Linked DNA regions of Mus musculus: all the other regions are reported to be linked to region 1. The links are microRNA targets in miRTarBase. Many come from high-throughput screens and were not tested one by one. Region 1 holds a microRNA gene; each other region holds the end of a gene's coding sequence.

Region 1 (7,622 bases):
AAGCTGGGAGGATTCAGAGCCAATGGTTGTAGGGTGGGAAGGGAAAGGGCAGGGTCTGGCTGCACAGATACACACTCTGCCCTCTCCCCACACCCAGGCCCACCAGCGCTGATGAGCATCATGAAGAACTGGTACTCCTTGTTCACCCCAGTGGAGGCGGTCACCATAGTGGCAGTGACAGGCACCACGCATGCCACTTTGCTGCGACTGCAGCTAGATACAGCTGGGCGAGAGGAGCTCTGGGCTTGTGCCCGCACCTTGGCACTGCAGTGCGCCATGAAGGATCCCCAGAACTGCGCCTTGCCAGCCCTGACCCTGTGTGAGAAGAACCACGCGGCCTTTGAGGCTGCCTACCAGATTGTGCTGGACGCTGCAGCCGGTGGCCTCGGCCACGCCCACCTCTTCACGGTTGCACGGTATATGGAGCATCGAGGCCTGCCTCTGCGGGCCTACAAGCTGGCCACGCTAGCCTTGGCACAACTCAGCATTGCCTTCAACCAAGACAGCCACCCTGCAGTCAACGATGTGCTGTGGGCCTGCTCCCTCAGCCACTCGCTGGGGCGGCACGAATTGTCGGCCATTGTCCCTCTCATCATCCGAAGCATCCACTGTGCACCCATGCTCTCAGACATCCTGCGACGCTGGACACTCTCAGCACCCGGGCTGGGCCCACTGGGGGCCCGCAGGGCTACCAAACCACTAGGGACTGACAGGGCACCACTTTGTCAGCTTCTGGATGCCGCAGTAGCCGCGTACATAACCACCAGCCACTCTCGCCTCACCCACATTAGCCCACGCCACTATGGTGACTTCATTGAGTTCCTGGGCAAAGCTCGAGAGACCTTCCTTCTGGCACCAGACGGGCACCTCCAGTTCGCACAGTTCTTAGAAAACCTGAAACAGACGTACAAGGGAAAGAAGAAGTTGATGCTGTTGGTTCGGGAACGGTTTGGCTGAGGAACTGCAGAAAGCCGGGAGCATGGGTGTCCCAGGCCCACCTTCCTCAAACAGGAGGCCCATGGCTACTTGCAGTAAAGTTACAGAGGTGGGAGGCAGAGGGTGACATCATTCCAGGTGTGTGCCTAGGAGTGTGCAGACAAACGGGACATGCGATCTGAGGATCCGAAGCCATACTGCTAACTAGACCCTGCAGGGAGTATGTGCCTGGGCACCTCACACGGAAGAAGCAAGCTCTGGCTCTTCCAGACTCCCAGGGTCAGCTGGGACTTCCAGGAGAAGGGCTGGGCCAGAGTGAAGTTAGGCCTCCAACTCAGTGCAGCAGATGCTCCAGAGCCGGAGCTGGCCGGAGCCTAGGCACTTCACATCAGGGTAGTTACTTCCCACTGTGTTTCTCCCCTCTCCACAGCTCAGGGCTCCTGTCCCACTGCCCTGCGCCCCCAGCCCCAGCTTTCCAGCACAAATGCCTCACCCCACTGAAGGATATTAAGAGGTCTTGGGCCTCTGCCACATACCTCACCCCCAAATACCCTTGTCAAGCCAGGGCCTGTCTTCTCTTGGGCACCAAGGTCACAGGGTAGGCTGGGGACAGCTCTCTGCTGGCCAGACCCCACCACTAGTAACTGGATACACAACTCAGGAGTCAGGCTGCCCTCCAGCCTGTTGTGGGAGGCACAGGCAGACAGCCAGGGACCCCGTTCTGTCTTCCTCTTGCTCTGCACCTCCATTTGTTTCCCCACTCCCTTAGTTTCCCCATGTCTGCATCTCTCTCAAGTCCCAGCTGCTGACAGGCCTTCCTGTATCCCAGGCCTTGGCCCAGGGAGGAAGAGAAGGGAGAGCCTCCACCCCAGACGCACCTGTCTTCTCTCTTGTATATTAAGGAAAAAGTTGGCATCATTTTGTAACTTTTTTTCTTATTTATTGAACCCCATACTGTATTCTTTTCCTTTTTTTTTCCTTTTTTTTTAAAAAAAAGATTGAACACAACTTCTTTTTAACTTCAAGACTGGGTTGCATTGCTAACACAAACACCCGGGGCCAGGGGTACCTACCACCTGCTCAATTAACCAAAAAATTTTCCATCTCGGTTTTTGGGCACAACTTGAATGGGACAGGAGAGGCTGCTGGTTTCTTCATGGCATCGTGGTGACACGAAGAGCCACCTCTTGCTGGTGGCTTTACTGCTTTTCCATCTGCATGTCATAATCTCTGCAAGTCAGGAGGCTTAAAACGCCCAAACCTAGAGTCTGTAGGTTTTTGGAAAATGCACCCAGATTGCACTGTCCTTCATTGCAGGAAATGACCACCAGGGGGCGTCTGGCTCCAGACAACGTCATTCGGAGCTCCGGAGGTCTCACCAGGTGCGGAGGGCAGCTGGGGACGCCTGTGTCCCCAGTGACCTGCCCATTGCATTTTTGGGCTGTGGATGAGACTCCCGTTCTTAGATGGATTCATCCAGCGGACGGCCTGGGCATTCTTCTCATTCTCCGGTTCTTTATGTCCTTAGCTGTGTCTGACAGGGTCATTGTTTAGGACCGTTCTCTTGGAAGCTGTGTGTGTGTGTGTGTTGCCTCTGTGGGGCACTATGGGAGCTGGCTGTGACTATGAGTGTGGCCATAGTTCATGGTGCGTTCCTTTGCTCCAGGGAGCCGATCAGAGGCGATCCGCCCCTTAGCCCTTCTGGCGCAGACGGGCGCGCGCGCGTGCGTGCGTGCGTGCGTGTGTGTGTGTGTGTGTGTGTGTGTGTGTGTGTGTGTAGACGGGCGCGCGCGCGTGCGTGTGTGTGTGCATGCGCGCGTGTCTGTCTGTGCTCGCATATGTGCCCGTCCTTAAGCCCTGTGTGTGTGTGTGTGTGTGTGTGTGTGCATGCGCGCGTGTCTGTCTGTGCGCGCATATGTGCCCGTCCTTAAGCCCTGGCATCTTGCCAGTCAGTGCATCCCAGCATAGGCAGAGTACATTCTTGTAACATACTCCCTCATGGAACTGGGGTGACCACAGATTGGTCTCATACACCCCAGGTCTGGGTTATCCCTCCCGTTCAAGCCATCCCCAAAGGATCCCAGGATCTTCAGGTCGCAGCACCTACTGACCACAGAACTATATTTACACCTTCCTAGAAGCAGGTGGAGCAAGGTTGGGGATAGGTGCAATGCAGGTTAGGAGCCCAGGGTGTGGTAGATATAGTGGTGCAGCTGGTATTCCCAAACTCCAGACACTGGAGGAGTTTGATTCAAGGTCAGCCTGGTCTACACAGAAATGCTGTTTCAAGAGAAATGAAAAAAGCCAGCAACACACATGTGGGAGGCGGGAATGAAGAGACGTCAGCCCTTACGGAATGAGGCTGTGGAGCTTTTATTTAGTTGGAGAACAACATTCAATACAAGCTTTCAACTCTGTTCTTCCACCCAGGCTTCGATTTGCCCCTGCCCAGAGTAGGGAGAGGACACTGTATGGTCTGGGAAGTGTAACTCAGCCAGTTCCAATTAGTCTGCATGCAGTCTCATTTGTGGGTAGTAGGCAACTTTTTAACTTCCAAGCCTGGAGATTACTTCAACAGGCCAATGGGGGGGGGGGGCATGGATCTGTTCATATCCTGAGGCCTGTGTGGACCTCGCTCCCTGCCTCGCTGTCACCAGCAGAAAGCTGCAGACCCCATGGGATTGCTAGGCACACTGGATCAGGTCAGTGCCTTCTTCCGGAAGCAGAGAGTTGGCATTTAACCGTTAGAGGGCCTAAAGCAGCTTCCTCTTGGGTAACTGACTTCAAAGATGGTATGTATAAGGGGTGGTGCCTGAGCCCCACCAGACTTAGGAAAAGAAGGGCTTCCAGGCCCTGAGGGGACATAACTGGCTTTTAATGCAAGGGTTACCCGCCCATCTATCTGCTTTGGGGAACCACAGAAATCTCAAGGTGGACACCCAGATGCAGGCTTAGAGGCTGAGCCTCCAGCAGACAACGGGGCTTAGGTTGGACTAATTACCCCATTGTTTCCAGGTCTTGCTCACGGCAGACATTCTGCAGGGTTGCCAGCTCCTAGGGGGCTGGACTCCTGTTCCTGCTGAACTGAGCCAGTGCACTGGAATCAACTGTTTCAGCTCAGTAGGCACGGGAGGCGGAGCCCGGAGAGAGGCAGAGCCCTGCCAGCCAGGAGGCAGAGCAGGGTGGGCAGCAGCGGCCTGAGGAGATGGGGTCCAGGGGGCGGAACTTAGCCACTGTGAACACGACTTTGCTGTGGACCTTGCTCACAAGCAGCTAAGCCCTGCTCCTCAGGCCAGTTGTCATGATAGGCTTCTCTGTTACCCAGTACCCAAGACAGACATCCTTGGCGACAGGAGCCCCCAAGGCAGAGCACAGGGTCAGTTGGAAATCCCTGGCAATGTGATTTGTGACTGGCATCAAATCCCATCCCCAGGAACCCCAGCCGTCCGAGGCACAGTGAGGGGGGCAGCAGGTGGGAGCGGAGTGTAGCACCTAAAGAGAGAAAGAAGAGACAGTGAGATTGGAGCATTCTTGCTTGCCTGCCTATCTTGACCAGGCTGGGTCTCACATAGCTGAACACAAGGTTTCCGAATGCACCAGTTCTTCCTGCCTCTACCTCTGGAGTCTAGGATTATAGGTACACCTCACCACACACAGTTTAAGTGGTGCTGGGGACAGAATCTAAACTCAGCTTGCTGATCCACACCCTAGCCCTCCTCTACTTCCAAGAGGGAAGAAGCATTCCCAAAAAAGAGGAGCATCGATCCGTAGGAAGGTTGGAGCGAGGCTGCTGGATGCTGGGCACCCAGCAGTGCCTCTACCCCAGCCCTACAAAGCGGGAGGTGCCTGAAGCCCTAAGGCCAAAGGGGCTGCAGAGCCTTCCCAGCTGCTTCCCACTCTGCTTCTATCCCCACCCACAGCCCTGAGCCCAAAGCAGGCCAAATGGGGCCATGGAGAGGAAGCTGAGGGAGGTGGACGGTTGGAGGGAGGAAGTGACCTCACCCCAGCTGGCGCCACTTCCTAGAAGCCTGAAGGGCAGGAGGAAACTCCAGGGCCTCCCACCTCAGCCCTCTCCTCCCCAGCCAGCTCAGACATAACCCCACCCCCACCCCACACCACCTAGGGCCCAAGCAAGGAGAAGCAGGCCGATGCACCCCAACAATAACACCTCAGTAAAGTTTCCCCTAGGCCTTCCAAGCCTCAGTTTCCCCATCTGTAAAGCAGACTACAACAGTTGCAGTTGGTGGCTCACGTTTATCTCAGCATTGAGGAAACTGAGGCAGGAAGGTTGCCAAGAATGGAGTCAAAAGCCTGCTTAAGCTACATGATGAGTTTTAGGCCTAACTGGGCTACAGTTTGAGACCCTAGTCTTAAATAGAAGAAAAACAAAAATAAAACAACAAAACCCCAAACCTTCTACTAGGAAGGCCAGTGAAAACTTACAGAGAAGGTATTTAGCACCCAGTACCAGGGCAAGCCACAAAATTTGGGGCCTACCCAATGTAGAGTAGTGTCCTGCGTGCCAGTTAAAGTTTTCAGGGGCCAGCAAGCTGATCCAGCAAGTGAGCAGAGCTGCTATGGAGCCCAATGCCCTGAGCTCAAACCCAAGAACCACGAAGAAGAAAAGCATACGGACCCTTGCAAGTTGTCCTCTGATCTCTGCACTTGGGAACACACACACACAATTTTTAAAAATTGTTTAAAGAATTTCAATGTTGGAGAGATGACAGGTTTCTTTCCCAGAACCTACATGACAAGCACAGCTATCTATAGCTCCATTCCCAAGAGCTCCAACGCTCCCCACTGGCCCCTGTGGGTACCAGGCATACATATGGTGCACAGACGTACGCGTAAGCAAACATTCACAAACAGACAATAAAAATAAACTTAAGAATGGTGGTGCACACTGTTAGTCCCAGCACTTGAAAGGCAAAGGAAAGCAAGAACCAGGCCTTGGACAGTACTATCTCTAAGAGTTCAAGGCCAGCTTGGTCTGTGTAGGGAGTTTCAGACCATCCAGGGCTACATAGTGACACAAGTGACCTTGTTTCAGATAAAGAGCTGACTCAGTGGTTAAGAGTGGCTACTGCTCTTGCAGAGGGCCCGAGTTTGGATCTCAGCACCTGTCACAACTACCTGTAACTCCAGCTTCTGGGGATTTCACTCCCTCTTCTGGTCTCTGAGTGTACTGCACTGTCATGCACAAAGACCAGACAACACACACACACACACACACACACACACACACACACACACACACACGTCTTCTTTATAAAACATCAGGGTCGGGCTGGTGAGATGGCTCAGTTGGTAAGAGCACCCGACTGCTCTTCCGAAGGTCCGGAGTTCAAATCCCAGCAACCACATGGTGGCTCAAAACCATCTGTAACGAGATCTGACTCCCTCTTCTGGAGTGTCTGAAGACAGCTACAGTGTACTTACATATAATAAATAAATAAATCTTAAAAAAAAAAAAAAAAACATCAGGGTCTTCAGTGATAGGTCAATCAATAAAGTGGTCACCATGTAAGCAAAAGGGCTTGTGTTGTCCCCAGGTATGGCAATTCACACTTGTAATTCCAGAGCTGGGGAAGGGAAGCCACAAGATGCTCTAGGGCTCACCACCAGCCCGCCTCACCAGCTCCATGTCCCAGTAAGACACCTTCTCTGAGAAAACAAGGTTGGAGCTAGAGAGATGGCTCAGTGGTTAAGAGCATTTGTTGCTCTTTCAGAGGACCTGGGTTGAGTTCCCTGCACCTACACAGTGGCTCACAACCATCTGTAACTCCAGTTACAGGAGATTCTATGTCTCCCACCTTTTAGGACATCAGACACACACAATCCTGAGAAACTACACTTGACATTGCACTCTGTACACACACACACACACACACACACACACACACACACACAAAAGGGAGGAGAGTAGAATTTTCATGCCATGCACCAGGGCCAGGTCTTATATAAGCCCTACAGTGGTGCATACCTGTGATCCCAGCTAGGAAGAGACAGAAGCAGGAAGATATATATGAGTTTGAGGCCAGCCTGGTCTACATATGAGGCCCTTTTTAAAGGGGGAGGGGGAGGAAAGGGAAGGAAAGGGTTTTGGCTACGGGACACTCAGTTCTGGAGCTCGTCAGCCTGCATGTGAGCTATGCAGCTTCTTTGCTGGCTGACTATGGGCAAAGAACACACGTGCTCTGTGGCAAAGTCTCTGTCTGCAAGAAAGCAAAAATGAATCATTTCAGAGCTCGAGATGATGTGACATGACAGCAGACTGCAGACGTGTAATCCCTATATCTAGGACAGGGGTAAAAAGATCTCAATTTAGAAGCCAGCCTGGGCTACCAAGACATGGTGTGTCTCAAAAAGAAAGGGCTAGAGATGGCTCAGCACTTGCTGCTCTTCCGGGGGTTCCAGGTTCAATATCCAGCACCTACATAGTGGCTAACAACTATCTCCAACTTTAGTTCTAGGGATCCTGACACTTTTTTCTGAACTCTGCAGACATACATGCAGACAAAACATCTGCACACGGAAATAATTGTTGTTTTGGTTTGGTTTTGTTTTTTTGAGACAGGGTTTCTTTGTGTAGCCATGGCTATAGCCCTGGCTGTCCTTGGCACTCACTTTGTAGACCAGGCTGCCCTCGAACTCAGAAATCCACCTGTTTCTGCCTCCCAAGT
Region 2 (7,622 bases), not on the chromosome of region 1:
GGTGGAGGGGACAGTACAATGCCTGCCTTTGTGCTGGCTGATCTTGCGCCTCGACAAAACTGGCTGAGTAGAGCCCCCTGCTGGCTAGTGATGTACATAGCAGGGTGAAAATGAACTACAGTATAAACTGGACCTGCTCTAATCCAATGACAATAAGTTTTTGGGCCTTTTTCAGTGCTAGGGATTGAACCCAGGACCGTGTACGTGTTTGGTGAGTGCTCGGCCATTGAGCACATTCCCAGCCACTACCAGTTTCTAAAATTCCTTAGTGTATATTCATTCTACAAAATTATGTCTCATTATGGCATATTTGTCTCAGTGTATCATACATTTTGACCACATTCACCCACATTACCATTCCTAGCTTTGCTCCCACTCTACAAGTTTTAAATTAAAAATTTTTTTAGCCAGGTAGTGGTGGCACATGTGTTTAATCCCAGCACTTGGGAGGCAGAGACAGGTGGATTTCTGAGTTCGAGGCCAGCTTGGTCTACAGAGTGAGTTCCAGGACAGCCAGCTTGGTCTACAGAGTGAGTTCCAGGACAGCCAGGAAAAATCCCGTCTCAAACAAACAAACAAACAAATAAACAAACATTTAGTGTGTTTTGCCTGCAAACCTGTCTGTATGAGGGTGTTGGATCCTGGAGTTAGGCAGTTGTAAGCTGCCATGTGGGTGCTGGGAATTGAACCCCACTGAGCTAGCTCTCTCTCTCTCTCTCTCTCTCTCTCTCTCTCCCAGTTTTAAATACTTTTGAAGTATTTAAAGGAAGGCTGCTCTGCCTGTCCTTCCTTCCTTCCCTCCCCGCTGTTTGTGGGTGAAATGAACTCTTTCTGTACATGTATGGTTGTGCAAGCTGAAGAAATCGTTGGGAAATGACTGGGAAATGCCTGCACTAGAGCATGGCTTTTCTTGATTCTCATTTTCCATCAGTTCTGACGACTGGCTGGTGTCTCTGAACATGTCACCCTAGCCCTAGGACTAGAGTTTTGCAATGGATCTTTTACACAGGTTCTATTTTGTTTGGGATTTTGCATGGGGGCTGGTATTATCAATGAGGGCTTCTTTGCTGTTTTTCTGCCTGTGTAGTTCCCCAGCAACATAGAACCTAGTGTTAGTTCTTAAGTGTTACCGAGCATTTGCGACCACAGCTTCCCCTTGTCTGAGCCCCTAGTTTAAGCAGGGAGCCAGGGGAATAGGAGTAGAGCCGCTCTCAGCATGGCTTGGGATGATGGTGGCAGCAGTGGCAGTGTTTTGGTGATGATTCTTAAAGATTTTTAATTTTATATGTCTGGGTGTTTTGTATGCACATATGTTAAGTGCAGTGCCCAGGAAAGGCAGACGCGGTGATCAGATCAGATCTCCTGGAACTGGAGATATAGATAGATGGTTGTGAGCCTCCATATGGGTGGGCACTGGGAATCGAATCTGAGTCCCTTGCAAGAATAGCCCATGTTCTTAACCGCTTAGCCTTCTCTCCAGCTTTCTTGGCTAGAAATTTTGTCTCCTGCAGAACCCTAGTGTGAATGGTCAGTGGTGGAGCTCGGGTAGAGGCAGAGATCAAGCAATGCATTCCCTTCTGCCTCTGCTCCACAAACCAACAAGCTGCTATGAAAAACTCTCTGGCCTCTAATTCTATTGAAGCATCTAGAATCACTGGGCTGGAAAGAGTGCCTGTTTGTGTGGCCTTGTGCTAAGGTAGGTCTTTTAAGTATTTTGGGGGGGGGTGGGGTGTGCACCCCTCAAAAAAACAAAAACAAAAACAAAACAAAAACCCTGTATCTTAGGACACATGCCGATCAGTTACGTGTCCATTTTCCTAATAAAGTCACAAGTTCACAGCCGGCAGAGGCCAAACCTCTTGCAGGGGTATTTGTTTGGAATTCCGGCAGTGGAAATTACAGCTGTTGACTCCCCCCACCCCTCACCCCAAAGACTTACAACTGGCCACACTCTTAACTTCTGGGCAGAAAGGACCCAGGCAAGATGGCAGTGTGGCCTCCCTATTTTACCTGGAGGAAGCAGCTGCAGGGTGCAGGGAGAGGCTGTCCCTTCAGTTTAAAGGTTACCAGTTGATTTTCAGCATCCCATGGCCACACTGTTCACTATGGCCAAGTGGATGAGGATACCCAGAGGACAGCATCTGTGCTGGCAAACCTTGGCCAAGTCAAAGAGCCTGCTGTCTAGGAATCGTGAGGTGCAATCTGGATTGTTGCAGAGATATGGGTAATTTTGACTAAGGTGCTTTAGGCCCCAGGGACAGGTAGCTATTTGCAGCACTGAGTACTCAGTTTCAGGGGTCTTCAAGCCTGGGTGTCCAGCAAAACTGCCAGAGATGCTTTAAATATACATACTCTCTCAGACCCTCCCCACCCCCGTGGGTCTGCTTTTGCCTGGGGTGGTACCAGAATATTCCAGAGCTCCCAAGGTAGAATAAGGTAGAATACCACCTCTCGTCTCCACCTGCCCATAAAAAGCCCTGCACACTTTGGGTCATTTGCTCAGAGAGAAGTATTCTACTCCTAGGGCCAGGAGGCTTCCGTCTCCTACAGGGGTGGGCAGTAGCTCTCCTTGAGTGATATACTAGCACTCAGGGAAGTTGCTCACGACATTAGCGGAGCCTGGAAGTAATGACAGGCTACTCTCTGGAAAGTAAGTTCACCTATGCCAGAGTGACAGTTGCCTCTGTGTTGGACAGACCCCTGTTTGTTGGAACTCAATGACTTTACTTTTGGAGAAAGATCTTTCCCTTAGGGTGAGCAGAGGCAATCCACAACACACCTGAAAGGTGGACAAGGTCTAATGTTCTAAAGATCATGGAGGAAGAGAGAAACAAACAGTTGGCTGCATGTGATAAATAACTCCTCACAGTTTAGAGCAGATTGAATTTACATTTTACTTTAAAAAAAAAAGGGGGTGGGTGGGGGGGTGGGTGGGAGGGAGGGCATACACAGGACAGGAGCAAGTGAGGCCGATGCTCTGCGACAGACGTCAACATGTTTCCCCACAGCAGTGGAGTCTGTGTGTCAGGCAGAGGTTCTCCTGCTGGTTACATTATCAACAAGGTTGTAGGCAGGGAACCCCTGGTTGGGGAGGGGAGTAAGTTAATCATATACAAGGTCAGTTCACAATACACAGCATTTTCTTTAAATGATGGAACGCAGTCGCAGGAAGAAGTTAACAATACGAACACAAGAATAATCAAATTTTTGTTTGTTATCCATGTACAGCAACTAACTGCTTTACAAAAAAGCAAAATAATACAATATATCATCACATGTATTTACAATGTAGTAAATAGACTTTTCTGTCAAATTTTACACAAACTATTTACAGGGGAATATACCGCATTAAAAAAAAATTGTGTGGCTGACACTAAGTGAATTTTTGTGGAAGTCCATTGCATAACATTGAATAAGACATGCTTCAATATGCTTGGGGAGTAATGTAGAAAAAAAAAGGGGGGGGGGGAAACTCCTCCAAACCTGGAAAACAAAAGCCAGATCTCCCAGAGGAAACTTGCAACCTTAAACCCCCCAAGGAAGTGGTTGCTGGGGCGAGTCCCCCCACTGGGGCTGTGGCAGTCTGCACTGTCCAGGCTCCGGCCTCAGCACTATGCAGGCAAGAGTAACTGTCCAGCAGAGTGCAGTGTCCCCACAGTGAGGGCATGGGAGCCCAGGGGAGGAGTACCAGCCAAACGCACAAACACAGCCGTTAGTGTTTTTTTGTTTTCTTTTAAGTCAGGGAAACACAAATTGAAAATGAATCACAGAACTCACACCAAATTGTGTAAAATGGGACATTACTCAGACCTTCAGCTGCTCCTGTAATTAGAGTCTCCTTTGGGGGAGGGGCAGCTAGTGATACTTTAAGCTCTGTAGGTTCAGTTGCTTGCAAAGATAGACTTTCCTCAAAAGCTGGAAGTTCTGTCTATTAGATAAAACTGGAATGCTGCCCCAGTTTCCTGGGATGTACTGGTCAGAAGTGGCTCCGTTTGATCTTTCCATAGGAGCTCAAGTGGGGCAGTTTAAGAACTATGGGGAAACCCGCTACAGGAAGAGTGCACATTTATAAGTTGTCCTGTTTTGATGGGGGAAGCAAAACAGTAATGGGCCAGTAATGGAACTCAATGACTTTAAAAAAGCCAAGCAACTAGAGTTACAGCAGCCTCAGTCTGTGCTGCCCACGGTTGCAGGAGCCAGAGCGGGGTGCACCCCAGCAGTACTGCGGTGGGGAGCCGGGCCTGGCAGCTAAGCCACGGGCCTCCTGCGGCTAAACTCAGCTGGCATCTCAGCCTCCCAGCCTTGGTTATCTGCTCTGACAGTTATTCTAAGGCAGCCTTTACAAGAGCTCAGTTTGCTGCATCTGTCTCCAGTAGTCTCCAGTGATTCTATGTTAAAATCACTACTAACACTAAGGGGTTTCCTTTTATTTTGGCAAATGGTTCTTACTTTTCCCAGGGCTGTAAACAAATTAAAAAAATTAAATTGTTATTTCTGAATATCAAAAGCAATTTTATTTACATTAACATATTACATTGTTACTGTATGGATAAGTGTGAAACGTGTTATATTATTAAAGTCAGAATACTTAAATGTACCATTATTTATTGACTTAGCTGTGGAGTTTAACTTACTGAAATCCACTAGTGAGCCAGCACTACAGGACCTGTCCACACCCTACTGGGTTTCTTTTGGTCCCTCCCAAAGCCATTATGTCTTAATACATGAAGGGAACCTGGAAGTAGAGGGATAATACCTTTTAAAAATAAATATAGTTCAATCTTAACTGAGAGCATCCATGTACTACTGTGCTCACTAAAGTCAAACTGTCTTGCATCCTGCGGGTACCATGAAGCAGCTGGGTGTGCATCCCTTGGAAGGGCCTGAGTCCCACTGGTCCAGCCACTCTGCACAGCAGCGATCCTAGAGGTCCTGTGTCCATACCACACAGGCCGGCCAGACTTCACAGTGACTAAATGCAATCCTATCAGATAGAATCCAAATGTTTTGCTAGAGATTCCTGATTTTATTTGGAGGAGAGGAGTAAGATTAAAAGATTTTAAAAATACATCTTATCAAAGAAATTTATGATAATATACAGCATATTCTGTTTCTTGGAAAATTATTTAACAAAATAAAAATATCACCTACCCTATGTCACGTACCATTCCATTTTGCTACGGAGCCAATGGAAAGAGCTATGAAAATTACCTTGTGGAAACGAGTCTCACCACTCTGTCTGCAAATTACCCTGCTTAGAATCACTTAGGAAAGAGGAGAAAGCAAGTGCAAACACAAGTGTAGTTTCTATACTTAGTATAGTCTTGGCTTAAAAAAAAAAAAAAAGAACAGAACACCTTCATATGTAAAAATTAAAAGATAATCAACTGGAAAAAAATTACCCAGGTTGGATGACCAAGTATGTATAAGGCCTCAGAACCAATAGCTTTAATTCAGCAATGTTAAGATGTGTGTGTCACGCTTATTTTCCTGTACTTATTGCTAAGACTCAAATGTTAGTATTTCTTAAGAATTCGTTACAAAATATTAGTTTGCCCCTCCCTCAGTCCCTGGCCTGTGGCTTTATTGAGGCTTGGCCTCTGTGGTTCCTTCAACTACATAAGGTAAAAAAAAAAAAAAAAAAAAGTCCACAGCTAGAAGATTAAATACACTGGGGTTAAAATATGATTTCTCCCCCAAACTTATAAGTGTGTAACTAAGACGACCCCTTCACTCTGCAAGACGGGAACACAGAAGGCCGTCCTCCGCGTACGGCCCGTGGCTTGCGGCAGCGGCAGCACTGCAGGGTTCATCCACACCCACGGTCCACGCTCTCAGTCAGGCCTCCTGACCGCCTGCTGTCTCTGCTGTCCTCAGAACAAGTGCTCAACCAGACACATGCCAAAGTAGAAGGAAAAACATCAAAGAAAAGCAGCATTAAACTTAGGCAATGCTCCAAGAGATGACCGTCTGGCGACACGGCGACCAGATGGGATCATAAGACACGAAGTGCAGCAGTGCAAGGTGAGGGGTCACTAGTGAGAAGCCATGTTAGGTTGGTTTGAAGAGTGAAACAAAGAACGCTTCACACGATCTTCTTAATGCTATTACGTTTGAAACTGCCAGCACTTCTTTGCTTCTGCACTTGGCTTGCGGATCCATGGCGAGTCCGTCCACTGTTACAGTGGCCAGCGGTGGGGGAGAGTTCAACGTTCTCCTTGTCGAGTCCTGGAGAGACACAACAGCTGGTTACTCCTCCTCTCCTGACGCTAGCTCAGGACCCAATCTCATTCATTGCTTGTGGGTGAGATTGGAATGGTGAGCAGTCCCAGCATACTCCACATTCACAGTAAACTGCCAGGACATTTACAAAGGCCTTGCCACATACTTTGCCTCACACCTTGCTAAGCTGAATTTTCTATCATTGTTGTGAAACAGCGTAAGAGAAAAGAGAAGTTGCAAGAACAGCTGGAGGGAGGTAGGGTGAAAGGCTGGCCATCCAGGAAGCCTTAGGAGAGTACCTTCTCCCAGTTGTACCATGAGTGTCCAGCAGAGGGCAGATTCTAGCCATGTATCCATCTTTCTGCATAGCCGCCATTTCAGAAAAAGGCATATACTTCTCCTTTAATCGGCCTCAATGCCTGTTCTGGAGGAATGAGGGCATCTCCTGAAAAGGTGACCTACCACGCAGGCCATGCCCGGATCTTGGCTTCATTTCAATCATGGAGAGTCACTACACTTGTCTCAACCTCACTCAAGGGTCCTATAATGTATTTTACAAATAATGTAAACGTTATTTTCAGAAAGGTGATCAGAACAAAAGGGCAAATTTAGAAAAATCTCAGCATATTGATAAAGGTTACAAATAAAGATAGAAAAGAACAGTCTGAAGGAGGTGAGGAAGGCAGTTTAGGCAGCGAGCATGTTCCTTCACAATCCCTGGTAGGATTTTGATCATTAGTTGATTGAGACAGGGTCTCTCTGTGTAGCCCTACATGTCTTGAAACTTGGTACGCAGACTAGGCTGTCCTGGAACTCACAGAGATCTGCCTGCCTTTGCCTTCATGTGCCACTGTGCCTGGCCCTGGATCTTCATTATGAGTGGGTTTGCTTCTAAAAAGTTCATTATACTGTAAACTTATGACCTGTGTACTTTTCTGCCTTCTACCCTTCAAAAGAATTTGCTTCCCAAATAGATACTGTACTCATCATGTCTAGCATAGCCATTGGCAGGAGGCATTCTGGTAGCTGATATAAACTGTTCACAGACACACGAGGAGGAGGAGCAGGGAAGGGCAGGCCACACTTAACTGGGGGTGGGGAGGCAGGAAACCATCTGCTCATGTCATGGCCCGCAGCGTTATCCCAGGTCTAACTTTAACTTTATGGACTACTTGAACTTAAAAAGAATCATTACATTTGGGAATGGAAACATTTCCATTTTTGGGCAATAAAGTATTATTTTAAGCCACAAGATATTTATTGTGTTACAGGAAGTGGGACAGATCCATGCGGCAGTTTGTAGGCTGAGGAGAACTGCACCTGGGATGACTGTTCTCTGGAAGACACAGCCTTCATTCAACACAGTTCCACTCCCGTCCTCTCCCATCCGTCTCCTACCA
Region 3 (7,622 bases), not on the chromosome of region 1:
ACAGGTAAAAAAAAAAAAAACTACTTTTGCTATATTCCCTAACTTTGGGTTTGTTTTGATTGCTTTCATTCTGTCACATATTCTTGAATTAACTATGAGATTTCTCTTTGTGTTTGTTGTTGTTTTGAGAATGTGTTGCTTAATTTCAGTATGGTGGTGAAAATTTCAGCTTCTGTCTATTTTCTCATTTTAGTACGATCAGAGAAGATACTTCATATGATTTTGATCTTTTTGAATTTATTGACTTTATTCCTAGCATATGCTAAAAATGTATGCTGTGATACTGTTAGGGTGATGTGCCATTATGTCTGTCATATTCCATTGTTTTATACTGCTCTCCAATTCCATTATTTTTTCAAGTGACTTTTATCATTTTTTTCACAATTGAAAGCCTGCTGCTGAATTGTACCACTGTTGTTATGTAACTAGTTCTTCAACTATGCAAAGAAAATTGCACCACCTAAGTGTCCTTAAGAATAGGACATAGTTAATGTTCATGGTATCGATGAATTAATTCTATTATCTTTATATAATATCCTTCTATATTTCATTGTTCTTGATTTAATGTTTGTCTGATGTTAGTGCAGACATCCATGTTCTGTGGTACTACCATCCTTTCACTTTTAGTCTGGGTTTTTTCTTGACTGAAGAATTTCTCATATATATATATATATATATATATATATATATATATATATATATATATACATACCAATTATTACTCTCCATTTTTAAGCCAGCCAGCCAATCTATATGCTTTGATTCTAAGTTTAATCTATTTCATTAATAATAGAAAAGGATATTGTTTTTGTTTTGTTTTGTTTTGTTTTTTTTTTTTTTTTTTTTTTTTTTGGTTTTTCGAGACAGGGTTTCTCTGTATAGCCCTGGCTGTCCTGGACCTCACTTTGTAGACCAGGCTGGCCTTGAACTCAGAAATCCGCCTGCCTCTGCCTCCCGAGTGCTGGGATTAAAGGCGTGCGCCACCACGCCCGGCGAAAAGGATATTGTTTTCATTTTGCTGTTTCCTTAATGATCTGCTAGTTGGTTTCCTCTTTCTTACCCCCCTCCCCCATTTTTTATATTTTCCTAACAGGCTTTGGTGTTTCTTCTTGTTTCCTTTTGTGTTTTGATGTGTCCTTTTTAGTTAGCATGTAATACCTCTTAACAGTGCACCATTTAAATTGAAACGTAACTTCATTACTTCAGTAGCATATAAAAGCACTACTTGCCTATAGCTTTCCCATTTTTTTTGCATCAGAAGCCAACCCTTTACATGCTACATAGTCATTAAACAGATATTCTTTGACTGTTCTTTAAATTCCAGTTCCAAAATCACAATAATACAGATTCCTATACTGGAGAATATTTTTTAAGTTTGTACTAGAGACATTTCATTTTTATGTGGCTTTGTGTTGCTGTATATGTTCCTTTAATAATTTAGTCTTCAAGGATCCTCATTTCTTGTGAGAAGATTCAGTGGGAATAAGCTGTCATAGATTTATCTAGGAAAATCTATTTTCTCCTTCATATTTCCAAAGACAGTATTGATAGGTTCATGTCTTGATTGACAACATTTTTCCTTTAATACTTGGAACATGTACTCTATTTCCTTACAACCAACATCGTTCCCGATGAGAAGTCCACTCCTAATCTCATGGAAGCTCTATTGTATATGCCAAGTCATTTCTTCTCTCTGGCTTCTTAGTTTCTGTCTTTGTCTTTGATTTAAGACAAAAGTCTCCCATTTCTCCCATTTGATTTATGTAGTTGATATTTTGGTTTATTGCATTTACTTGTCAATTGCTTTCTTAGGATTTAGGAACTTCTCACCCACTGTTTTGTCAAACAAGCCATCTGTCCCTCATTTCTCCTTTCTCCTAAAAGATACTTGTCATAGTCAGGGTTTCTATTCCTGCACAAACATCATGACCAAGAAGCAAGTTGGGGAGGAAAGAGTTTATTCAGTTTACACTTCCATGCTGCTGTTCATCACCAAAGGAAGTCAGGACTGGAACTCAAGCAGGTCAGGGAGCAGGAGCTGATGCAGAGGCCATGGATGGGTGTTCTTTACTGGCTTGCTTCCCCTGGCTTGCTCAGCCTGCTCTCTTATAGAACCAAGACTAACAGCCCAGAGATGGTCCCACTCACAAGGGGCCTTTCCCCCTTGATCACTAATTGAGAAAATGCCTTACAGTTGGATCTCATGGAGGCATTTCCTCAACTGAAGCTCCTTTCTCTGTGATAACTCCAGCTGTGTCAAGTTGACACAAAACTAGCCAGTACAATACTGTCAGTGCATATGTCCATTTCTTTGATACAACCCCACTAAGTCCCTCTCTCCTCTCATCCCCTCCTCTCCTTTCTCTTCTCTGACTTCATGATTTCAAGTGACCTGTCTTCAAGTGTGAAGATGATCTCTTCTGCCTGCTTAAGCCTCTGCTGAATTCCTTTTGAGAACTTCCGTATAGTATAAATTCAGGTAGAGTATTTATTGGTGTCACAATTTCTGCTTGGTTCCTTTCTATAGTTTTTTTTTTTTAAGTTTCCTTGCTAATATTCATATTTTTTTTCATTCATCACTTTCCTGATTAAATTTACATTGTGTTCTTCCTTAACTCATTGAAAAAGTTTCTGACAGTTATTTGAGTTTATTTGCCTAATAGATAGTTTATGGTGGCTTTCTGTAGTCCCCTCCCCCACCTTTGCTTTGGGCTGTTTGCATTTCCTTATACACTTTGCAGTCTCTTGCAGAGAAAATAGAGGAGGAGATGAGAGGAGAGAGGGACTTAGTGGGACTGTATCAACGGGGATTTGGGAATTCATTTTGAAAAACAAAAACCAATCAACTCTTTGTCTTTCTGTCCTGACAATGTGCCAATGAAGATTTTTAACCATCATCCTGATTAGATATTCCAAGACCCATTGACCTTTCTCTGATCCTTTGCTCCCTCTAGTGTCTCCCTTCAGTACTGCATGTCTAGGATGCAGTGGTAGTTTTCTGCAGCTCTCAAGTTTTTTCTCCTCCTGCCTTTCTACACATAAGCTGAGGGAGCTTCAAGTCAGGTGAGGGGGAAAGTTTCCTGGACAGCTGCCAAACAGGACATTAGGAAGACTACCTACTCCTTTGTCTCCACTCCATTCTGAAGCTAGAGACTTTTAGGATGTTTCTTCTTAGTTGCCACTGTGGTTACCTGGTTAACCATGATAGGCTGTGTAGTGAGGGTATGCGTGGCATAAAATAACCCTTTGTGCCAGGCATGGTGGTGCATGGCCTTTAATCGCAGCACTTGGGAGGCAGAGGCAGGCGGATTTCTGAGTTTGAGGCCAGCCTGGTCTACAGAGTGAGTTCCAGGACAGACAGGGCTATACAGAGAAACCCTGTCTGGAAAAACAAAATAAAACAAAACAAAAACCCAAAAAACCCTTTGGCATGCTCAACCCCCCTTGCTGGAATCCTTTCCTTGCCTTTACAATGGCCTGGGTGCTCTTTGTTCTCACTTCTTCTCTAGAGTTTACCAGAATTTAGTGCAGTCTTTATGAGGGAGGATTACTTGTAAGCCATTTTGCTGACACCACTCCGCTGTTGAAACTTAGCCTCTCTTTAGATTATCTCTATTAGTTTACACTCTGTTATTTCCATAGTTATCATTGCATAGCACATGTCCCCACACACAGATTATGATCCTTTTAAACATTTTAAACATGTATACATTTTACAGATGGTTGTGAGCCACCATGTGGTTGCTGGGAAATTGAACTCAGGACCTCTGGAAGAGCAGCCAGTGTGACCTCTGGAAGAGCAACCAGTGTCTTTGACTGCTGAGCCACCTCACCATTCCTGGAATTTTGTTTTGTTCTTTTCAAACAGGGTTTCTGTGTGTAGCCTTGGCAGTCCTAGAACTGGCTCTGTAGACCAGGCTGGCCTTGAACTCACAGAGATCCACTTGCTTCTGCTTCCCAAGTGCTGGGATTAATGGCATGTGCCACCACTGCCCAATGATCCTTTTGATACATAAGTTTTAGATCATCTAAAAACAAAACAAAAAACATAACTATAAAATGCCAATAACAGGTTTTGCTACTATTTGTTCATATATGTTACTTTATTAACTTCTATTTGTTCTCTGTGAATCTCAAATCATTTTCTCTATTCCCACTCATCTCTCCTTCCCCTCATACCCGCCCGCTATCCATCCTTGCAACCTCTCCTCTCAACAACAACAAATTAAAAAAAAAATCTCATGGTGGAAGCTTTAGTGTGTCACCGTGTGTCCCACAGTACACCCTTTTGTCCACACTTCTTTGCTTGCAAATGTTCACTGCAGTGACTCACAGGTCTGGTTCGAGACCTCTAGCTTCTGCTGCTTTATCATTACTGGAACCTCACTGAGACTCCTCTCAGATATCCTGTAGTTTTGGTTCTGTAGGACTGGCCCCTTCACTCACTCCAGCAGTTCATTGATAGGGTAGATGCTGGGGTGGACCAACTCAAAGTCCTGTATATAGGCATGAGAGGTATGTGAGCTGATCAGCCAGCCAGCTGTCCTCTCAAGCCCTCAGGGCCAGCTCACCCACAACCCCCACATCCAGGGCCAGCTGTACTGTGCTGCCCAGGTGAGGTGCAGGGCCTACTCTCCCCAGTGCTGCAGCAGGTGAAAGGCAGGGAACTTTACAGCTCTGATGGCCCCGGTGCTACCTGAAACTGAGTACAGCCACCTATAATCCTAGCCTTAAAAGTTCAAAGTGTCTCAGGTACTAAGTTTGAGGTGACCCTGAGATACAAAACACCCGGTCACGAGAAACAAAGAAAAAGTGTGGATAAATGATGACTTTGCTAGTTTTATAAATAATTCTGTGAGCGCTTCACCTTCAGAGTGGCTAGCTTAGCTGGCCAGAGACCCCCCTGGGATCCTCCCATCTTTGCCTCCCAGCACCAGGCAGACAGGAGCATCTCTGGATTTGCATGTGATAGGGTCCTAATGCAGGGCAGGATGGCAAGCACTTTACCAACTGAGCCACCTCTCCAGCTGTACTAGTGTAGGACAGTATCTTATCAAGTGAGACCAAAACTATTTCGACTTAACCATCCACTTGAATGAACTTTTTGTTCTTTCTGATGCTATTCTTTTATCTTCTGCATCACCCTGATTATATTCTGAACATAGTATTCTGAACAGCAAAGTCCAACTTGCTTTTCAAACTTATCTCATTCTTAATACATCTCTTCGATTTATAGTTCTCCCACCTAATCCAGGAAGTTAGATATAAGTCTAGAAACACATTCCCCTACCCCATGTTTTGCTCCTTATCATGTTGTAAATTCTATTAGAGTAAAGCGAGTCTTCTTTGAAGGATGCTCTGGGTTACAGTCTGTTCCAACCTTTGAGATTTAATGCTGAGAAAAACTTTTGTAACAAGCATGTGACTCAGACATTCTCTCTCTGTGTGTGTTCATGTGCCATCTTTGCATCTGTATTTTACAGTGAAGGGGCAATTTCTGCTCACTTTCACATAGACCTTTATTGAAGCACAAGACTCAAATATACACGAGAACAACATTTAGAAGGGCATCTTATTTACAACGGCTCAGTTCACTTTACACTCAAATACTGAACATCACAATCAACACAACAAGCGTCATCAACAAGTGTCATGTGTTTTCAGTTGTATCTTCATTTGGCATCAGAACGATAATACAGAGTACACAGGGTTGGGTAGAATTGCCACCAGCATTAGAGAGGTACACTGAAACAAGGAAGCAGCTGGGAAAGCAAAGCAGTATTTGAGGGTCAGATGACTCAGGAACAAAAGGACAACCGGAGGCAAAGGGTTAGTCAAATTACTTTTTGTTTTTGTTGTACTGCTTCAGGGTGCTTTTTGATTGCCAGGTTTGCGTTTTAGTTCCTTGGCAATTTTTTCAGCCTCACGGAATGCAGAAATAAATGGTTCAAGATTCACTGCATCTTCTTCTTCATCATCATCATCATCATCAGAAAACAGTGCCTCTTTTTGAATATGTTTACTGATAGTCTCAAATATTGCAAGAACAATTTGAATGTTTTCATCTGACTCCTCCCTATTAATAAGGTCCATAAATTCTGACACCGAATCAGTAACAAGTAGGCGTTTTGTCATGACAAGGTTTTCAGACAAATTCAGTAGCAGTTTCAGAACATGAAACCTTGTTTTGGTATTGCCTGAATTCAGTAAGTAGAAAAACCCAGCCAAGTAATTGACAACCACCTTGTGATAGTCAGAAGTAGCAGTGAGGTGTGTAATCATTGTCAATCCGGACAACTGATCAGGGGAATCCAAGTCATAGTCAAAGGTGTCCTCGCAAATCTGACACACGTATGTCTCAATCATGTTCAGGTCTGGATAAGGGGGAGCCATGCGGACCATATTTTCCAAAAACCTTGTCCTCACTCGGGAGGACGGATAGTTAAGTAAGGCTTCAATCAGGGAGACAACGCCCGAGTTTCGAATGAAATCCCGGGTAAACTGAGAAGCACCTCGCATGCCCATTGCAATCTTAGATATCTCATGGATAAAAGGATCACGATTTCTGTCCATCAGTAAAAGAAGCTCCTCAAACTCCTCAGAACCAATTCTAAGCTCACACTGGATGCAGTTGCAAGACCAATTCTCTGGCTGTGCACTTTCCCTGGCCTTAAGATGCTCGCGAATTTCTCGGACTGAGCGGTAAGAGGGATCATACTGAAATGGGAACTGGGGTTCAGGCTCCCTTTCTGGACCAACTTCCACAAGCTTAGGCTTTCCCCCAAACATTTCTGCAAACAGAGATGCCGCTTCTTTGGGGAATCTGAAGGGGTTCATGGGTGGGAAGCCAGCTTTTCCCCACGGACCAGCCTTAAACTGAACAGTGACCTCATCCCAGCTCTGAGGCCTGCGGGAAGGGTCAGGTTCGTGCTCAGCTGAAGACTCGGGTTCACAAACGGCCTTGCATACAGGTACAGGATTTGATTCAAAGCTAGCTTCATCTCCTTCCCAGAACCAGGCTCCCACTATGGTTTCAGCTTCTGTACTATGTTTACAATTGTCACCACTGCCAGTCTTGTTAATCACCTCATCTTTTGCTCTTGACCCAAACTTAACAACTGACTCTTTCCCATTTTCTGGACTGGCCTCACTGACAATCAGAGTTTTAGCTTCTTTTGTGGCCTTGTCACTAGACCAGAGCCAGGACCCAACAGCTATGTTACCGTCATCTTTTGGCTTGGACACACGCTTTACTCCTGCTTGAATACTGTCCTTTTTTGCAGCCCAGATCAAGGACTCAAAAATTGCTTCCTCTTCAGTTTCTGACCCAGTTTCGACAGTCTGGGACCCAGCCCCTACTTTGGCCTTATCAGTCCAGAACCATGACCCAGTAACTTTCTCTTCCTTAATCCCAGGAGCAGACTCAAAAGTACCCCTTCTCACTGCCTCTAGACTGGCCTCTTCATTGCCCCAGAACCAGGATCCAACTGTATCTTCATCTTCAGATGCTATCTTGTTCTCTTCATTAATCTTAGCAGCTGGCTCAAACCTGTCTTCATCCCCAGCCCAAAACCAAGAACCAATAATGTCTTCCTCTTCCGCTTCTGGCCTGAATTCTTCTC
Region 4 (7,622 bases), not on the chromosome of region 1:
ACCATGCGGAATCCTTTTTGATTTATTTTTCGAGACAGGGTTTCTCTGTATAGCCCTGGCTGGCCTGGAACTCACTTTGTAGACCAGGCTGGCCTCGAACTCAAAAATCCCCCTGCCTCTGCCTGGGGTTAAAGGCGTGCGCCACCACGCCCGGCAAAGATTTATTTATTTTTTTATTTATTTGAGTACACTGAAGCTGTCTTCAGACACACTAGGAGAGGGCATTGGATCCCATTACAGATGGTTGTGAGCCATGATCGCTGGGAATTGAACTCAGGACCTCTGGCAGAGCAGTCGATGCTCTTAACCACTGAGCCATCTCTCCAGTCCGACCATGCGGAATCTTAAAAAGACGGGAGTCACAGCTCATTTCTTAATGGACTAGGTTGTTGTAGGACGTTACCCTTTTTTCTTGGATCTTCCCGAATGTCTTTTTGCTGAGCTAGAGTGGGGGAAACTAATTTCTTTGAATATTCAAGAAAGGTAAGAAGGCCCATAGTTGTTTGAGGTTTCGGGATCGGTGCTATCAAAGTTCAATCGGTCTTCCTCTGACCACTCCGTTACTCTTTTCACTTTGGTCTTTTCTTTTTGCCAACACCCACATCTCTTATCTTCTTACCGGGTTTTAATTCTAAGTACAACATTCAGCGTACCTGCTGTTGTTTACAGCTCACCTGGTGTTGTTGCCCAGCTCCATAAGGGCAAGGACTTTGAATTGCTCCCGATGGTATCACCAGATCCCAGAATTTGTTAAGCATTCCAGTAAACGTTTGATACGTAAATGAACATTATAAACTATTGCAGGAAACTCCCTGATTGCTGCAACCCAAAGGGTTTTTTTAATTTTTCATAGCATTTACTGTGTTTTTGTCGTTTGTTTGTTTGTTTTTGAGACAGGGTTTTTTTTGTGTGTGTGTAGCCTTGGCTATCCTGAAACTCTCCCTGCAGACCAAGCTGCCCTTGAACTCAGAGACCCATCTGTCTGCCTCTGCCTCCCGTGACCCAGCTATGTCTCTGTCTTCGAGACCGGAGCTTACTTTGGTGTATTTAAAACTGGCCTTGAACCCTTGATCCACTTTCCTCCACCTCCTAAGTAGTAGGATTTTTGAGATCTCTTAGTCTATTGCTTTTACTGTTAACTTTAATTAATTTATATATCTGAATCCCTACTAAGATTGTCAGGACTTCCTATGTGTCTCTATCTGTCTACCTTATCTCCCTTTCCTACCTTCACTCCCTGTCAACTGGTCTCTTGTTCTTCCTCTTGACCCATGACTGACTTTATTTAATCCCGTTTACAATAAACAGAAAGCTCATAGATTTAAAAAAAAAAAAAAGATTGTCAGGAATCTGATTCACATACTGAAATAATATATGTGTAAAGTCACAGATGCTGACCCTGTAGAGCTCAGCTTCCTTCTATCTCGGGCCTTCCCTAAGCTGCTAAACTGCTAGCATGTAACAGCCCCAAGGTAGGATGGGGCAATGGGACTAACTTCATAAATGCCTTCTTTTTTTTAATTTAAAAAAATTTATTATTATTATTATTTGGTTTTGGTTTTTCAAGACAGAGTTTCTCTGTGTAGCCCTGGCTGTCCTGGAACTCACTCTGTAGACCAGGGTAGCCTCGAACTCAGAAATCTGCCTCCCAAGTGCTGGGATTAAAGGCATGAGCCACAACCACCCAGCTCAAAAATGCCTTCTTTACATCCTATCTGCTACCTTCACTAATCTGCTAGGCTCTGAGACCCCCTACCTCTCTTAAGACTGTGACTGTTAGTAATTTCCTTTGTTCTGCAGGTGCCTGGTGGCACTCATGTGCCAGCTTCCTCTGCTTCAAGTAGCCAGTGATTAAAAGACATGGTTACCAGAAATCCATCTCGGTACCAAATCTGGAAAGAATCTTTAGTATTTAAAATAATGTTTGTTTATTTATGTATTTATTTAGTAAGTATATGTAGCCACAGGTCTGTCTCAGCTCATGCAAATGGGTTCCCATAGTGAGAAAGCAAAATTACTCTAACAAAGAGCTATGATCTTATTCTACAGATAATTAAAGTGGGACTGTCAGTTCAAGTGACTTCTTCCCCCAAAGTCACAGCCAGGAATCGCAAAAGTTAGCTTTATATCTTTGTTTCTTTAGGATAGGGTCTCACTATGTAGCTCTGGCTAACCTGGAACTCACTATGTAGATCAGGTTGACCAGATAGCCTTGTCTACTCTTGTAGCCCAGCCTGGTCACAAACTTGCTAGGATAACTTTGAATTTCTAATGCTGCTGCCTCAGTGGCTTTCCTTGGTGCTGGATTATAAACATAAATCTCCATACCTTTTATTTGTGTGTGTGTGTGTGTGTGTGTGTGTGTGTGTGTGTGTGTGTGTGTGTGTGTCTAAGCCATTATTAAATGTCTTCCTTAATTCCTGTGATCATTTTTTTTTTTCTGTTGAGATGGGGGTCTCAAACTGAACATAAAGCTCACCAATTCAACCACATCATCTAGCCATCAAGCCCCGAGATCCTTCCAGCCTCCCCAAGGCTGGAATTAACAGGTGTGAACCATCATGACCAGTATTTGTACGTGGGTGCTGGGAACCAGGCCCAGATCCTCACACTTTCATGGAGAGCATTTTACAAGCTCACCCGTCTCCCAGAACTGTTTTGTTTTCATATTTTTAGTCCAGACTGACCCAAACTTAGCACATCGCTAAGATGGCCTGGAATTCCTCATCCTCCTGTCTCTGTCACCCAGACACTGGAATTATCGGCATAAGCTACCATGCCAAGTATCTCTTCCTTCTTATTACAGTTTCGAGCTCAGCACTCTGTGCTGATTTCAGTGGCAAATTAGCAGGATAAGGACTTCAGTTGTAAGGACTTCAGCCTGATAAGCCATCATGTAACTGTAATACCAGCATTCAAGAGGCTGGGGCAGTATTCTAAGTTACGGGCAGGCCAGCCTCGGTTATATACAGAGACTCTGCCTTCAAAAGAGAAGGAAGAGAAGGTAAAAGAAAAGGCAGGAAGAAGGGAGGGAGAGAAAAGAAATATGGAGGCAAAACAGTAGTTCCCAAAAGTCCTGGTTCTCCAGCTCTGCCGCCTCTGTACATTCTTCAAGCACTCTCTGAGCCCCGCGCCTCTGGCAGCCCTCCTCCTGCCTTTTGCTCTAAGAAGCCACTTTTAAGTCCCTGGAACAAAGCTTTAGAGCAGTAAATGTGGGACACAGTGGGGTGGGGAGGAGGGCTGTTAATTTTAGCCTGGGGTTCTCCAGCTGGCACAATTTCCATCTTGAATCATTTCCACACCCTGAGCCCTACTAGGAGATCCCTCCTCCTGGGGGCTTCCCCATCCCCTGCTCTGGTCTGCTGCAATGGTAAGCATTCCAGAAACGTGCCTAGGAGAACCTTGGCTGAGTCATTTGATGTACTCCCTCAACAGAGGGAGCTTGGTGATGGGAGATGCCTCCCTCAAACTGGGCTTGTGACTTGTGGCCTCCAAGAAACTTCCAGTTCTCAGAAGAGCCGCTTGGTCCTTGTTCTTTTTCTCCTCTATAACTCTATCGCCTGAAGACCCGAAGCCCCGAGTCACTGTTGGAGTTTTAAGAAAGAGAAAAATGAAAGGTGTGCTCCCCAGGGCCCATGCTTTGTCATGGTTAGCAAGACACTGACCCAAGCTGGCATACTTCCTCTAAGCAGGCGATCCAAACATCCAGATTGTCTTCTCTCTCCTGTCTTTCTGTCCATCTGCCCTTCCACAGTGGAGAGGGCATCTGGGGAAAGGGAACAGGTGAGACTCCCAGTGTCTCACTGGTATGTTTAATTTATTTAAATTTAGGAGGACTGCAGTCTAATCAGACGGCAATTAATTCCTTGTTCATTAGGGGACTTCATGTGTGCCTTTTGCATATGGATGAGCCACAGGGTCACACTGTCCCTCTAAAGGGAGAGTTGTGGAAGGTGAGAGCCCAGGGAGCCCTTCGAACGAGAGCATCTTGCCCTTCTACTCCAAGTGCTCTTTCATTCCCCATCGCCATGGCAAGGCCTCCAGCCCTGTGGGGAACGCTGGAAAGGTTAAAGAGGCTTCTTCACCTTCCACGTAGCCCTTCCTTCCTTCCCTACTCACCGACCTCCCCCAGGCCCTTCAGTGTCCTCCTGGCCCCCTCCCTTTCCATTCCCTCTGGAATCTCCTGTGCACTGTGCTGACAGCCCTCCTCAGAAGGCTTGTTTGCTCCTACCTCAGCAGGGTGGTCCTTGGTTCATGACTCCGGTCGCTGCTCTCCTCTGGAGCAGCCTGTCCTAACACTGCCCTTGTCCTAAGACAGACAGTCGTCACCGTGTGCTTTAGGGGCTCAGCTACACGTCTTTCAATATACAGTACAGCTCGTCAGCATCTAAAGCATATCTATCTCTCTCTCTGTGTGTGTGTGTGTGTGTGTGTGTGTGTGTGTGTGTGTGTGTGTGTGTGTGTGTACGTGCATGACACACACCTATTTATAGCCTCAAAGATAAAACACATGGAGGCAGGTACATTCCGGGCAGCCCACACTGCTCTCTTGGATACTATATTGTCTCCTACTTCCGTGGGGCTAGCCATTTCCAGAGAGCAGGTGAGGCACAGATGGGGGGTAGGGTGGGGAGGAACAGGACACAAGACCTAGGTGGTTACCAGAGCAACAGAGCCTAGCAACAGCTGAGAAACTGATGTGTGGGCTTTACTAGGGCTGTTAAAGAGCCAAACCTAGAATTGCGACCCCAGAGGTGACTGATCCCAGCTGGGCAGCCTGTGTTCCCTCCCCAGACACACCCCTTGATTCCACCCCCACACCTTAGCAAGTGGGAAAACCACACTGAGCTGCACACAGGCTCCTGGTGCAGCATAGCTTTTTGGCGGGCAGTTGTGGGCAGGGCCATGGTAAGGAGCATGGATGAAAATAGAGCGGGTAGAGCATCCTCTCCTGGGCTCGCTCATCCTCTCCCTATGACCCTTTATCCTCTGCCTTAGCTGTCTTGCCCAGTGCGGTGTGGTGACTCATGCCCGTAATGCCAGGATTCAGGAGGCCAAGGTGGGTGAATCTAGTATGGGCCAGCCTGGAAACAGGGTGAGAGACTCTATGTCAAAATCAATCCATTGCCTTTCTGGCTTGTCTCATTGCTTGTCCTAAGAAATGTCCCTACTTTTCTCTGTCTTTGGTCTCTCTTGACCCTCACTAGTAAGGAACAAGCAAGCCTTAAAAACACTTCAGATGCAAGTTCTCCCCCCTCAGGGCTCTTTCTCCTCTGGAGCCTCTCCGGTTCCTTCCTTCATCCTGTCCTAAGTTAAGGTATCCATCAGTCTCCAGCTTCAGGTAGAGCAGGCCAGGTGACAATCTAGTCTGAAGAAGTTCTTCATCTCCCCTTTCTCTCCCATTCTCCTTCCTGTCCATCCTCTTCTGTGTATGGGGCTGGGGGACGGTGCCAGGGGTTGGGAATTATAAGGCAAAACAGGCAACTAAATTATCTTGCAAAGGCTTTATTTGAAAATTTTGAAACTTACATCCCACAAGATTATCACCACAAGAAGAAAGAGATAATACAAAAATATATATCACAGCATAGGAGCCAGGTAAGAGGGAGAAGGGAGCTGGAGAGGTGAGCGAGAAACTGGAAGAATCTGAAAAAACGGAAAAGGGAGAGGGGAGGAGGGAACGTGAGGGGCTCAGGGAGAGAAGGGTGGATATGGAGGCAGAGCTCCCAATGGCCTTGAACCAGCTGGCTTCAGTTCCTGGCAGCCTAGGTACATTAAGGGAGGCCTTAGGGGAGGGTGGGAGATGGAGGACCTGTTGAGGGGGCTCCGAATTCCATACAGACACATACACACAGACAGCCAGGACCGACAAAACAAGGGACTTGGGAGGGAAGGGAGGACATGGGAGTCCCTTCTCATGTAGTGCAGCAGGAGACTCCCCCAAACCCAGACTTCTGATGACAGAGTTTAACAACTGGGCCTCACTACCCCCGTTCCTGTGGGGGAGCCCTCAGTAATACCAGCATCCTTGGAATGGAATGGAAAGACACAGATGTGAATGGGGCCATGACAAATGGTACAAGGAGCCCCTAGCTCACCTCCCACCCACCTCTAGGGCAGCATGCAAGGGCCACAGAAGCTAGACCAGTGGGTGCTGATGAGGCAGAGTGGGCACACTATGCCATATATTGGAGCCAGAAATGCTCGTGCCCAGTCTGAGATGGGCACAGAGAATGTAAAGGGGGCAGGACATAGGCAACACGAGGGAGAGAGCTAGGAGCCGGCTGAGCAGACGTGAATGGGGACACGGCAGAGGAGCAGCGTGGAGAGCGTGACTGTGCTATGGCCTGTGAGGGTGTGGGTGAGTGTGCAAGGCTTTCATGTGAATGTGCAAGGGTGGGAATGGGAGACCCCAGTCACTGGAGGACAAACGCTTGGGCTTGCCCATGGGATTAGTGAGTGTCCCAGGTTGTGTGCAAGGACAGGAGCTAGGAGCCCCCCACCATGGCCCCAATTCCCCAGGGTTGCCCCACCCTCAGTGGATGGTGGCTATGCTGGCCACTTGGCCTCCTGCTTGGCAGCACCCCAACATGGGGGGGCATCACAGATTCACCAGGGGAATCCTGAGAGGAAGAGGGAAAATGCACAGTCAGGAACCAAGGAGTAGGCTGAAGCTGCAGGAGAAGTCAGGGTTAAGAGGGCAGAGCTGGAATTAAGGGTGGTAGGAGGATAGAACAGAGAGCCTAGGGGTGCAGGGAGCCCCATTCCCCTTGGAGAGGATCTGACCAGCCCCCTTGGGAGGCCCAGGAACCAGGTCAGGAAGGGTGTCATGGACTGCATTAGGGAAGACCACCCACCCAGGAAAGATAACTGAAGGTCTAGAGGTTCCCTCCTCACCCTCCCATCCCATCAGCCCCTCCCATCCCATCGCCCTCACCGGTTCAACTGGAAGGCTGGAGCCCCCTTAGGCTGGGGCATCCCAGGCCGGGGTCCCCCTCGGGGTTCCTCATGGTCAGGGGTGGGGGTAGGCGAGTCCCCAAAAGCCCCCAGCACAGTGACTCCAGCAGGAGACAGGTCTGTCAGTGGTTGCTGACTCTCCTCCTGCCTCAGGGCACCTTGCTGCCCTGAGGGCCTGCGCCGCTTCTGGCTACGGTCCCAGCTTGTGCATCATAAGGAAAGAGGTCTTCTCACAAACTCAAGTACTCTCTCAGTTCAGCATCCCTGGTTAACCCAGCTTCTCCTTCCCCAAACACCCCAACTTCCCCACAGCAAGGAAACTGGCTTCTGAGACCGTCAGACTATTCCTTCTCCTTTCCTCTAGATCATTTTTGGAGGGCCACAGGCTTAATGACTCCTCCCCACCAATACATAGCCCTTTAAAACTGCCCCTGCCACACTGATGTCCAGAGGAGCCTTGCTCTCCTCTGCGGGGACCTGGCAGATTTAGTTCAAGCTCAAAGTCAGCTAATGACTTGGGCACCTGAATCTAACGATTCTCTCAGTAAAGTGTGAAGGACTGTGTGACCCACTATTACACGTGTTCAAAGAAAGCTCCCAATTTTCTTCCTCCTGGACAGAAGCCCTGCGAAAAGGTGTTGCAGCAGGTTCAGTTTGCTCTGTTG

Evidence for each region. The annotated mature microRNA mmu-miR-24-3p reads UGGCUCAGUUCAGCAGGAACAG and lies in region 1 at 4,007-4,028, opposite strand. An mRNA with a match to its seed (bases 2 to 7 or 8) in the 3' UTR can be bound and repressed. Matches are read on the target gene's strand: a 7mer-m8 pairs with bases 2 to 8, a 7mer-A1 pairs with bases 2 to 7 and ends in A, and an 8mer does both.
Region 2: the mRNA of Nf1 is a reported target of mmu-miR-24-3p. The part of its 3' UTR that is shown has no 7-base or 8-base seed match.
Region 3: miRTarBase lists Gprasp1 as a target of mmu-miR-24-3p. Seed matches in the 3' UTR shown: 7mer-m8 at 5,584-5,590.
Region 4: miRTarBase lists Pianp as a target of mmu-miR-24-3p. Seed matches in the 3' UTR shown: 7mer-m8 at 5,689-5,695.

Annotation. Positions count from the first base shown.
Region 1 is chr8:84,205,281-84,212,902 of GRCm38, reverse strand. Mir24-2 (microRNA 24-2) reads right to left here and starts at 4,088; the gene lies at 3,982-4,088. It overlaps Zswim4 (zinc finger SWIM-type containing 4), which reads left to right. Exons shown (of 14, transcript NM_172503.3): 14 at 98-1,961. The coding sequence ends at 957. It overlaps Mir23a (microRNA 23a), which reads right to left and starts at 4,385; the gene lies at 4,311-4,385. It overlaps Mir27a (microRNA 27a), which reads right to left and starts at 4,231; the gene lies at 4,145-4,231. It also overlaps Mir3074-2.
Region 2 is chr11:79,576,860-79,584,481 of GRCm38, reverse strand. Nf1 (neurofibromin 1) reads right to left here. Exons shown (of 58, transcript NM_010897.2): 58 at 2,873-6,228. The coding sequence ends at 6,086. Among named protein-coding and RNA genes, the nearest start is that of Rab11fip4, 11 kb to the left of the region's middle.
Region 3 is chrX:135,801,347-135,808,968 of GRCm38, reverse strand. It overlaps Gprasp1 (G protein-coupled receptor associated sorting protein 1), which reads right to left. Exons shown (of 11, transcript NM_026081.5): 11 at 5,501-7,622. The coding sequence ends at 5,866. Among named protein-coding and RNA genes, the nearest start is that of Mir1970, 19 kb to the right of the region's middle.
Region 4 is chr6:125,000,964-125,008,585 of GRCm38, reverse strand. It overlaps Pianp (PILR alpha associated neural protein), which reads right to left. Exons shown (of 6, transcript NM_175696.4): 5 at 6,938-7,159; 6 at 5,490-6,623. The coding sequence ends at 6,602. Among named protein-coding and RNA genes, the nearest start is that of Zfp384, 4.5 kb to the left of the region's middle.